2 linked regions of the Neodiprion lecontei genome follow. The main gene of each other region encodes a partner of the protein of the gene in region 2 in a complex. Links are inferred from orthologs where the notes say so. Each region holds a gene or a part of one and is shown on either strand. Other genes may lie near its edges.

Region 1 (5,440 bases), on a different chromosome or scaffold from region 2:
GGGAACTATTAAGGTCTTGAAGACCGAGGATTCCCTTTATAAATTACAGCATTGTATTGTACCGAATCCCCCTGACAATCCCAAGTTTTTCCTCTCTCTGGATTCTGCTACATTTAAATTCTATCGTACCTCGTCTCCACTATTACTGTATTTGGACTATAATTTTTAATATTTGTTATTATATATTCATTTAGCTGCACCAATGAATCGCTAATTCACGCGTTTAATATAATGTATGAATACGTATAATATTTATTTTATCGCTGTTGTATGCTTACATCGTTGCGTTAGGCACTTTTGCAAATTCAAAAAAAAAAGATTTTGCTTCAATATTTGCTTAAGTGTTGTTTATCGAAAGGCAGAGAGAGGTAATTATGATGTCAGTTGAGCTGTAGTTGAAAGAAATCATATATGTGCCTGGAAATTGGCAATTAAATATTAATGGCAAGGTTGTACTTAAAGTATTGTAAAGATAAATTTACAAAAAAAAAACATATTAATCTTGTAACTTTAAGTTACTGCTTGGTTACAAAGGATTGTGGACATGCACTATTGCACCGATTTTATCGGTAGTTAGGATTTTTCGTATATTAGGTCCGTCCCTTGTGAATTGTGTTCGTAACGGGTGATTGCAGTTAATCTGCAGGATACGTGTAACTGAGTGTATGCATGATTATGTTGACAAAGAAGTTTCAGCCCTCCAATAGGGATGAACCCTGCCTACTTGTTCTCATAATTATTTGAGTTTTATATAAATATATACGCATTTATAAATATATGTATATACATACCTATGTGTAAATGTGTGTATATTTATCGGTTACAATGATAATGGATAATGATAAAGATGCTGTATATACTTTTTAGTGAGTCAAGGTGTGAAAATAAAACGTATTTTTATTCCACAATAATTGAATACTGTTACTTTGTATTACATAAAACTTTGACTTGTTACTGTAATTACTGTTTAAAAGCACTGCGCTGAAAGACAAAATGAATTTATTGGGAAGTTTGTGCCTGTGTGTGAATTCATGAATATACTACTGCAACTCAGCAGCTTCAACTGTACAAGTCATAATTCATTGGAATATATGTGGAGTAGGATACTACAAAGTCATAACAGATTCTTATAAAAATTTTGACATCTAGTAAACTTTGCATTTTTAAATAAAATAATGTATAGGGACAGAAGTAGTTACGATTTGGTAACCAGTTACATTATCACCTCTGATTTGTAATATTCTCATTATGATTGGAATGATTTTCGTATTGAACATAGTAAATTTGTTGCAAATCACAATATTATTATTTATTTATCTTTTTAATAATAGGTATACAATAGAAAAACTGCACTGTAAGAGAAAATAAGCTTAAGAGTCTTTTTTGCCGGTTCCAAATTGATTGAAAAGTCTATCTTTGATAACTTGAGCCATAAGACCATGTATAACTTCAATTGTAGTTTTACAGCTATCTCTTGTCGTTTTGACGAGTTTGTCCTCGCTCCGACGGTCGTAAGGATCATTAGATCCGGCGAGCATGTTTCCTCGACCAAGTGCTGCTTCAGACTGTTCCAGTTTGTCGGAAAGATCAAATATCTGTCCAGTCGTGTAGTCGGCATTCGTCAACAAACTGGACGAGCTCAACGTGTTAACCCAGTACTTATTCCAGAGAGAATCAAGCAGTCGACGATCAAGGGAGGATTTGAAATACGTTACTTCCAAGGAATAGTACTGCTTGCAGTGTACTCCAAAGTCTTCGATTTTATTCAACGGTATTGTTTGGTACTCTGATGGCTCGTCGTTGGGTGGTTTATAACCCTGTGGGAATTAAACGGCACGAAAATAATTAAATCAAAAAAATTCAGGTATAATTTCCTAGTAATTGTGTTCAAATCATTTATTATATTAACCTTGGGATATGTTCTGAAAGCTCCAAGGCATACTTTTCCAGCTGAAATAGTTCTAACAGGGTCAATTACAATCGCTACGAATGGTTCTTGAAAATTTTGATTCAACATCTGAGTGGAGACGTCAATTCCTGATAACCAGCATCCGTAACCCGGGTGACTGTGATACCAACCGATGGCATTTTCGTGACGGGCAACCTGAAAAAATGTCGTCAGTCCCATTTTTTTGTCTACTCTGTAATACAGTTGTAGAATGTATCAGTATTGATTCAGCCAATGGAGGTGAAAGTCTTGGCACATTTTACAACCCAAAAATATTGATTCACCATTACCTGTTTAGCAGCCTCGATGTAAGCGGTCATATATTCGTATGCTTGGGCCTGGGCATTGACTCGAGTTTCAGTACCCTCAACGGGAAGAGCGAACGAATCCATGACGAGCATAGTATTCGCCGTTACTTTTCCCAAGAGTAATCCCATGACCTCAAGAGTTCCGCCGGATCGGGCATGCATAACCATCTTCAGCAAAGCTAGCGCCGATATTTTGATGTCTTTGAAGAAGTGAGGACTGAAAAGATCAAATTTTAGTCAATAATAGATCAGTTACTTGATAGTTATTACTAAATTAGAGACGGATATGGTAAAAACACGAAAAAAAAATTGCAGACGTGTTCAGTATAGATTGATGAGTGGATTTTCTCTCGGATATTGAAATAACTGAGCAGGCATAGTTCATACTCTTTTTCCCATGGTTTCGCAGCGAGTATATCAAGCTGCTCCTGACGATCGTATCGATAGATTTCATCTGCTGTGCTTATGGTCTCAACGTTATTTGTCATTTCCCATGTTTTCTGTGCCGTGGACGACTGATCGCTCGACGTGCTTGCCATTATTAACGATCTTCTTTATCCTGGAAACAGAAATTGACATTTGATGAACATAAACGGATTTTTCTATCTGCCTAATACCGCTGGATAAATGGATGGATGGATGGATGGATGGATGGATGGATGACTATAAATTGATCGCTTTTATTATTTGTGGAGAACTTAACGGAAAATAATTCGCAAAAACGTGAAATGTGAATATCGAACAGAAATACGGTGCGGCAGTTGAGTTTATGTAAAGTAAACTTATTATAAAAATTCGTATCAAATATCGACAGAGTAGTTAGCCAAACTGTAGAAAACTATGGATCAGAACAGTTGACTAAAATCCATACCCGTATATACTTCTTGAAAATAATCTTTTCGAAAAGAAACTCTTCGACGGTCGTAAACAAACCTAACTTAAATATCTTCTCGAATTCGCATATCCACTAGTTTTGCAGTAGGGGTCACTGTTGTCGATGCTTAGTTCAAAAAAAATCCGTCACGAATTGCTCGCTCTGAGGGCGCTGTAAATCAAATTGAAAAACAAATGAGACTCATCATGAAATTAGTCATCTCATTGTGTATTTTCTGTGCAGAGATTACTGATCAGTGTTGTACTTATATTGCGTACTCTAAATTTTATTACTCCCTTTTACAATTCATTTCTTTAACGGAATCATGAATGAAATTTTATCATTGCGCGATTTGCTTTTGCGTGAATCATTCGTGACTGAGAATTAATTAAAAAGGTTTTAATTCGTTGTATCAGTTATCGCAGTTGTAATTAAAATTCGTTTGAACGATATCATTGCAGATTGGATATTTCATACACGTTAATTTTTTTATTGCCATTTCGTCAAATACGGCAAATATGGAAGCATAGCCGGAGTTGTGTTATCCCAGTAAACTAAATCGAATTGCACACGGTAAAATAGGAATTAACATGAATTATAACAAATTCAAAAGAATTAGCCCATAAAACATTTCAATTTGCATTAATTCTAATTAACTGCGTTTTTGGACGTACTCAATTCTATTCAATTCATTTTGGTTTACTTGGATCCCGCCTTACGGCATTAAACTACGAAGAATAGGGAAAACCGAAGACAGAAATTTATTATATACTAATAATACATAAGGAAGAATCGAAAATCCCACGTACTCATCCGAGAAATGAAGGGATCGCAGAACAGGGAATTGGATCAACTCCGTGGACATACATCCAGGAAATTTGAATATGTATACATCACCGACGAATCAGAATGGGTAGGGCAGGGGTGGGGGGAGGGGGAGGGGGAGGAGTCGTCGCATCGACGCGAGCGGCTGATGCCGGTAGAGAGCGTAGGTCACCGCAGGGGATCTAGACTCCGGTCAGTCAGTCAGTCAGTCAGTGAGCCCAGATTCGCAGAGTCGGTGAGTTGTGTTCGAGCGTGCAACGTAAATGTTCAGTCGATAAAGAGTGCCATAGATATAAATAGGTGCCGCATAGATAGTATTGAAAAGCGAATGAATATATTATTGGTTGTAAAATCAAAAGAGTAGAGTAAAAAGTTTCGAAACGAGAATGAGTGGACCTGTGACGTCATTGCAGTGTTTGGCGAAGTTTGGGCCCGGAATCGGTGCATCAACGTTGAGAAAACTGTCGATATATGACAATTATTCCCATACCATGTGCTGTGGCAGTGAATTATATTTAATGTCTAAAAAATCCTCGAGCAGCTCGTCGTCGTGCTGCAGGACTCCGAATAAGCGCATGTTACCGACGTCACGGGGGTCAACGGACCTCCGATTGCGGGCATCTATGACAACGGGGGTTTCCCCCTCGGCTACTACAGCTACCACAAGTACTGCTACTGCTGGTGCTCCACGGAACGTCGAGACCCCCGAGACCCCGCCGATTTTATCTAAGCAACAGGCGAGGGATCTCGCTGTACGCCTGACACCCGAGGAGAGGGACGTGCTCATATCGGCACTGCAGGAAACTCAGTCTCAAAAAGTAAAAGCAGAGTATGAAGGTACGAATGATACCGATTCGACGATGTCACTGGATGTATTTGCCCCCTGTGATAAATGTAGTGCGTAGCTTGCCAAGACGAATCGGGGAGAAAGAGAGGCGACCTCGTTATACATAAAACATGCGTTTCTTTCATTTTCTTTCTTTCTTTCTTTCTTTCTAATGTCGAAGCGATTTACCCGTTCCGTGTTCACTCATTTACGATAATATGTCTGTATTGTTGTTCTAAATCCTATAAATTGATACCCTGAGTAATTTGGTATTGTTAATGACTCCGCAGATGTAAAAAAAAATTCACAACAAAGATACGTAATAGTAGATCAGTATTATGGATATTCCTAATTTTCTCACGTGTCGAAAAATCACCGTTGCTACGTTACGCGCGGCTTTAACACGTGCGTGCGTGTGTACTCAGGCATATAGAAAAGTCATGTCAGGTCCGAAGCGAGGTGTAATTCCCGGATGGGTAGCCAGGTGGATATGACCTCACTGACGCGTCATTGACGCCAATACCGCCCGGACTTTCGTAATTTTACTGTACAGTTTGTCTATCTTCAATTTAGTCACAACATACGTCACGGAAAGTGACATCGTAATGAAAATAAACTGGCGTCTAAAAAGATTGGAGTTGCCGCTAATTATTTGAGTG
Region 2 (5,650 bases):
GCAAAACAAATAGCACATATTCGCACTGTTCAACATTGGCGAATTGTTTAAATTCTTCTCATTATTCCTACATTCACATAAGTATACATTTCTTTTTATTTTTTTGTTTTTCTATTTCAATCTAGGCGACAATAGAAAGACAAGCGAGTAACGTACGTTCGCGAAAAGCAAAGTGAAAGAAGTGCCTACGTAGTGATAGAAATATATAAAGAAATTGTATAAGCATACATACATATACATAGGTATAATATTGTATACCCTGAATTATTGCGGTATAGAATTACTACAATTATTTCTTTATTATCGTTATTTTTGTCCATTATTGTAGGGATGAATCCCTCGCCGCGAAAACAAGAACAATTGAATTTTAACCAATTGCAAGACAAAACAACACAACTGGATTTACATCATTCATTTTGCAAAGATTTCAGCATGCACTGTGTTATTTTTATATGAACATATGTTTTGTTGTATACTAAAAGGTACATATTTTATGGTTTTTCTTTTTTTTATAAAATGGAAAATCATATAATATTATCCATTCATTCGGTAAGTAACAAAATGATATATATCAGTATATGGAAATAGTAACTAATGTTGTAATTTAATAATTATGTTTATGCAGCATTTGGTATTAATGATACAAATGATAAATGTATCGCGAAGGATTACATCTCGAGATAGAAATTCTTTGATCGATATCGAACTGTTTCTGTTTCTTTCATTTTTTTTTTTTTTTTTTTTTGTAATACATATCCTTCCGAATTAGCATCCTCTTGTAACTGGCTCTTGTCTATAAAACTAAAATCGAAACAAATCAGTGGATTTTAATATCTGTCTGACATAACACTGTGACTTTTATAATACATATTATATTATTTTACTATGATTACGTATTTTCAAGTTTTCCTATTTACTAAATACTTTGTTTATCTCCTTCTGCAATACTTAATGTATGGCTGATGATTCGATCTCGAAAAACATCGCGGGATAGAAACCGAAATAAGTAAAACTGATTAGCATATTTTATGTCAAATTTTGGCAACATCTTCCCCTCAGTTTTGCTTATATTCACTTCTACTTTTACTTTTCACCAGGTTTTACATACATCGCGTAGTTGATTAAAATTATCTCGTTGAATATCTTGAATTAAATATTTATGTATCCGTTAATTAGCACCATTCGAATATATTAATAGATAGTTAAAAAACAAAAAAACAAAAATGGTTCGACGAAACGTTAATAACATCACTGAACCACAAGATGTTGAAGAATAATCTCGTACTTTTATATTCTATAATTTTATAAAACGTCGCGGGGTAAAACAAGTGAGAGTAATGAATGTACTTTATAAATCTAGGTAACTAGCGATACCAAAAATTGAAGATAAAATCAATCGTTTAAAAATTTCATTCCAATTCACGACTGCAAACAACCTTACTAAAGTTAAAACTTTTTCCGTATTTTCAACTTTCTCTTTCATTTCTTCGTTTAACAACGGCTTTTTTTAGTATAAACATAATAACATGGCTCATAGTGATTCCATATTTATATATATTATATTAGTCGTGCTTTTTCTGTAACTTGTGAAGTAGTGACTACGGTTTAATAATGAAAATCCTGAACCAGCAGTTCATTTTACATATTTAATAATATATACAACTTACGTCTCTTAAATATCGACGTGCAAAATCCGAGCCAACGTAATAATTGGCATTGTAAAATACAATTACGTTCTATTATACTCTTAAAGATCCCTGATTTCATTATTTTCATCACACTTTAAACAACGTAATAACACAGATCCCTCGGTCATTCTACTTCAGAACTTATTCAATTATTTTACGACACTCAGGGTGGCCGCTTGATTGTTTTTTTTTCTCAAAAATTACTTTGTCTCTTTTCCGCAGTGTTGCGCAAAGTGTAGGCATCGTTTTAAAAGTCTCAGTTATTGACTGTCAAGGAGATCACAACGCATCAACTTTCCAAAAAAAAAAAAAAAACAGAGGTGTTAAGTCACGATTTCAATGAAAACAAGAAACGACAAATTAAATTATGTTTGCTGACCACAGCAAAACAAAGTACACGACAATAGTTACAAATCACAGCCAACTTATTTGTATTTTTTTATTTTCGATATGTGAACATGACATAATCCCAAGACTTGAAAACAGTTTCCTGATAAAAGTTCTCGATTCTCCCAGAGAAGCGGCCACCCTGAAATCACTTCATCCTGTGCATACGAATATTCGTTAATTTCAGTCATTAGAAACTTACACGTATGACATTTTTTTCTTCGTAGAAATATCAAGAGTATCACCGATCCGTGGATAAGAAGTAGGCCTCAAGAGATCTGCACTTATCCGTTTGTTACTTACTTTAAGTCTTCCAGAACTTACCACTGCCTCGAATACCTTTTGGTTTTTGTTGTTTCTTTTTAGTATCTGGTGGAACAGGCACGGCTTCTCGGCTCGTTTCGCTTCCTCCCGATCCAGATTCGATCCCGCCACCAGCGACATCTGCCTCCTGGACAACCCCACGTACTGTATGAGCTGTGATTGATTTTTTTACGGCTTGGATCTGCAAGAGGAAGATTTTTGATCAGACTTAAAAGCTGAGAAAGGCGGGACTTGTGAAATGAGTGAATAAACGTGCTAGTGCTGGAATTCCAAATACACGAGCAGGTTTGGCTTAAGGGATTGTGCCAATTGACTTACCTCCTGCTTAAGTTTTTCTTGGTGTTGAGTTGCCTTTTGTTTTTCACTGTTGGCCCTAAGCACCTGCTGCTCAATGCAGTTCAGTACCGTGTCGCAGGCCTCACCCCAGGCAGTCAAGATTTCTGCAACGGCGCCGGTATCACCGGGTCTGACATCCCGACCTAATCCAGCATAGTCAACTTCTAGCTGTGAATTCTTCTGGTCCAATTTACCATGGATAATATCGGCGTAAACAGCCTCGATTATCAGATCCTCCAGGTCTCTGACATTCTTCAAGTCAAGCTCTTCTAGCAGAACGGAGTAAGGTATGCACTTTGATTTCGTGGCTAGCGTGACTATCGTCAAATGCTGGAGCTTCTTTTTCTGAACGGGTGTGAGGTGGAACAGTTTATCTTTGTTCGCCAAGTACTGCTTGTACGTGCCATAGGCGAAGAGGTTCAATGTGTTCCAATACTCGGCGTACGGTCCGTTCTCCAATTCTTTTATGTTCGGCATATCCAGCAGCTCCCCGAAAACATTTACTCCAGGTGCTTCAACGGCCTGCTTTATCAGCTCCACCGCTGCCGCGCCTTTAGCAGTTTTAGCCAGAAGGACAAACTGCTCCAAGGGGTTGTTGGTGGATGTTTTTTCAGTTACACTCGCACCCGTCATCGCTAATCTGAAAAAAAGGAATCTTCGATTGATTTCTGACAATTAATGGTATTGGGTAAATGCGAAAGTCGATTGCGGCATCGTGAAAAATCATTTCGATTCAAGTAAGGAGTCAGTGAGGTCACAATCTCACCAGACTAACTACGCTAACCTCGAATTCGGCTGCCCGAAGAACGCCAAGCCTAACGACGAACACAAATTAACGTACGAAATAATCAATATCACTTATGCAATTCTATGCTAGCCAATTCCCAGGAATATCACCGCTTATCAACTCGTTTCTCGCCTACAAAAACGATTTTATGCGCACGTATTGCTTTACCCCTTTGACGGATTTTCATTTGTCATTTGAAACACAACCACTAAGCCCACAGCCGTTAACTGGCAATAAAGGCGAAAACACTGGGCGAAAACAACTCGTGTCAGTATGTATTCTGTAGTTCCGGCATGGCTAGCTAACATACCGACAGAAATGGTAAGTGCTTCTATGTGCGTAAATTACGAACAAAAACGGAAATAACAGAGATCCTAGGCGTTTGTTCATATGAAAAAATTCGCAAACTCCGATGACTATTTACTTTTCCAATATCCACAAGTCCGTTATTATTACCGATCGCGATTTTTCTGTTGAGTTCTTACCAACGATCGGTAAGACAGGAAATTTCTTAATCCTGGCCGTAAATAGTGTAAATACCTCTGCCGTTCCCGACATACTCTGTTCGGGTTTTCTCCGCGCGTCGTTCTGGCGACTGATTCACGTTATTCAGATTTCACGTGTGCTCCGTACCTCGACCCGAGCGAGTGCGGCCGACTCACAAGTCTACTCCATTATTTATTTGACGAAAAAGTGGGGATTGGGGACCGATTGTCCGCACTGTGGTTTCCCTCTGACAAGTATCACGCTGCATGATTTTATTTTTCACTCATTTTCTATTCTTCACGAGTAATTACCCACGAGCTTGTGTGAAAAATAAATAAATAGCTGAATGAAAATGTTGTGCGAGAGTGACAGCATATTCGTGAAATATTATTAACGTATCAACATCACGGATATAAATCCGAATGTGACAGGAGGTGTCTCTTCGTCTGTTTCAAAATGCCGAAATTAATTGAGTTTGAGGAATGCCTACGGGATACGCCAAAATTTCGGTGAGAACAATCACTTTTTACAGCGAATCGTGGACACCCAACCTTGACAGATTTTACTTTCGTGTACAGATATGCCATATGCGTCGCCTGTAATTCATTCGCAAAACGAAAACGAAAGAGAAAGAAACGTATTATAATCATCATAGTAAACAGTTTAGAAATTCACCCACGGATTTATGCACGTCACATATTTAATATCCTTCTCACACATACGTATGTATATCTATACGTATGCCGTAGGTAAAGCATTACGTATTCACGCACGTAAAAATGTTCGGCTTAACCTCTCTTTGTCGAAAACTAAATTTATATTTGTACATTCGCTCGTTTCTGTCTACGCGTTACCTTAGACAAAATATCCTTTGTCTCTGCGACGTATTTACGCTGTGTTATCGCTTCTGAAATTTATTTCGACACTCAATGTGGAAGAATCGCTCATCCATTGTTAATGAGAATGAATAAAACAAACAAACCCACTACCTTTTACACCTATGTAGAAAACGGCTAATCTGTTGTCGATACAATTTTATCCTCCCCTCCCTCCAAACGAATGTTTGAAAAAATTGTCAGGTTGTTGCTATGTTATTTGTTCCAGATCACGCATCGAGGAAGAAGAAAGCAATGTAGAGCAGCTAGAACAAAAATTAGAAAAGGTACGCAAGTGCGGATTCGATTGTCCATTTTGTCGAATTAAAACTTCCTTTTATCCTTTATTAAGCATTTGAGAATAAAACATCGTATTGAAGTTGGTAATGTTATCATAACGATTCATGCTGACAAAAAACCATTATTTCATGGTTTTGGAATTGTCTGAAATTCAGTAAACGGTAATAAAACAAAACACGCTCGTATTTCGAATTTTTAGTTCCTGAAAAATCATTGTAAAATTAAGAAAATACTGATTTCTTCCCCAATGTTTCGTTACAATAACGTTACTAACTTCAACCTTGTAATAAAACACGTTCTCTCTGTTTTGAATCAAACCTAACTGATGTATTGTAAAAAAGCTCTGAGGTACTATTCAACCCATTTTATGACCTGTGAATATTTATACAGGATATCCTGTTGTTATCTTTAAAAGTTGTTTCTGCATTACATTACTTGTCCAGTTCTGTTAACGTTCAATTGAAAAT

The links.
Region 1: COP9 signalosome complex subunit 7b (region 2) and COP9 signalosome complex subunit 5 share a complex: the UniProt entries of both Drosophila melanogaster proteins name them as parts of the CSN complex. The link is inferred for Neodiprion lecontei from reciprocal best matches to the Drosophila melanogaster genes CSN7 and CSN5.

What each region holds. Positions count from the first base shown.
Region 1 is NC_060264.1:28,330,378-28,335,817, reverse strand, and holds COP9 signalosome complex subunit 5, read right to left. Parts: upstream 3,263-5,440; 5' UTR 3,128-3,262; intron 2,816-3,127; 5' UTR 2,796-2,815; coding exon 2,644-2,795; intron 2,474-2,643; coding exon 2,239-2,473; intron 2,105-2,238; coding exon 1,910-2,104; intron 1,818-1,909; coding exon 1,371-1,817; 3' UTR 595-1,370; downstream 1-594. Other genes in the region: transmembrane protein 65, read left to right, coding at 4,104-4,190, 4,369-4,792. UniProt on the Drosophila melanogaster protein: Probable protease subunit of the COP9 signalosome complex (CSN), a complex involved in various cellular and developmental processes.
Region 2 is NC_060261.1:43,244,896-43,250,545, reverse strand, and holds COP9 signalosome complex subunit 7b, read right to left. Parts: upstream 3,846-5,650; 5' UTR 3,831-3,845; coding exon 3,691-3,830; exon of another isoform or gene 3,502-3,690; intron 3,376-3,501; coding exon 2,718-3,375; intron 2,581-2,717; coding exon 2,380-2,580; 3' UTR 808-2,379; downstream 1-807. Other genes in the region: arf-GAP with coiled-coil, ANK repeat and PH domain-containing protein 2, read left to right, coding at 4,465-4,517, 5,113-5,170. UniProt on the Drosophila melanogaster protein: Component of the COP9 signalosome complex (CSN), a complex involved in various cellular and developmental processes.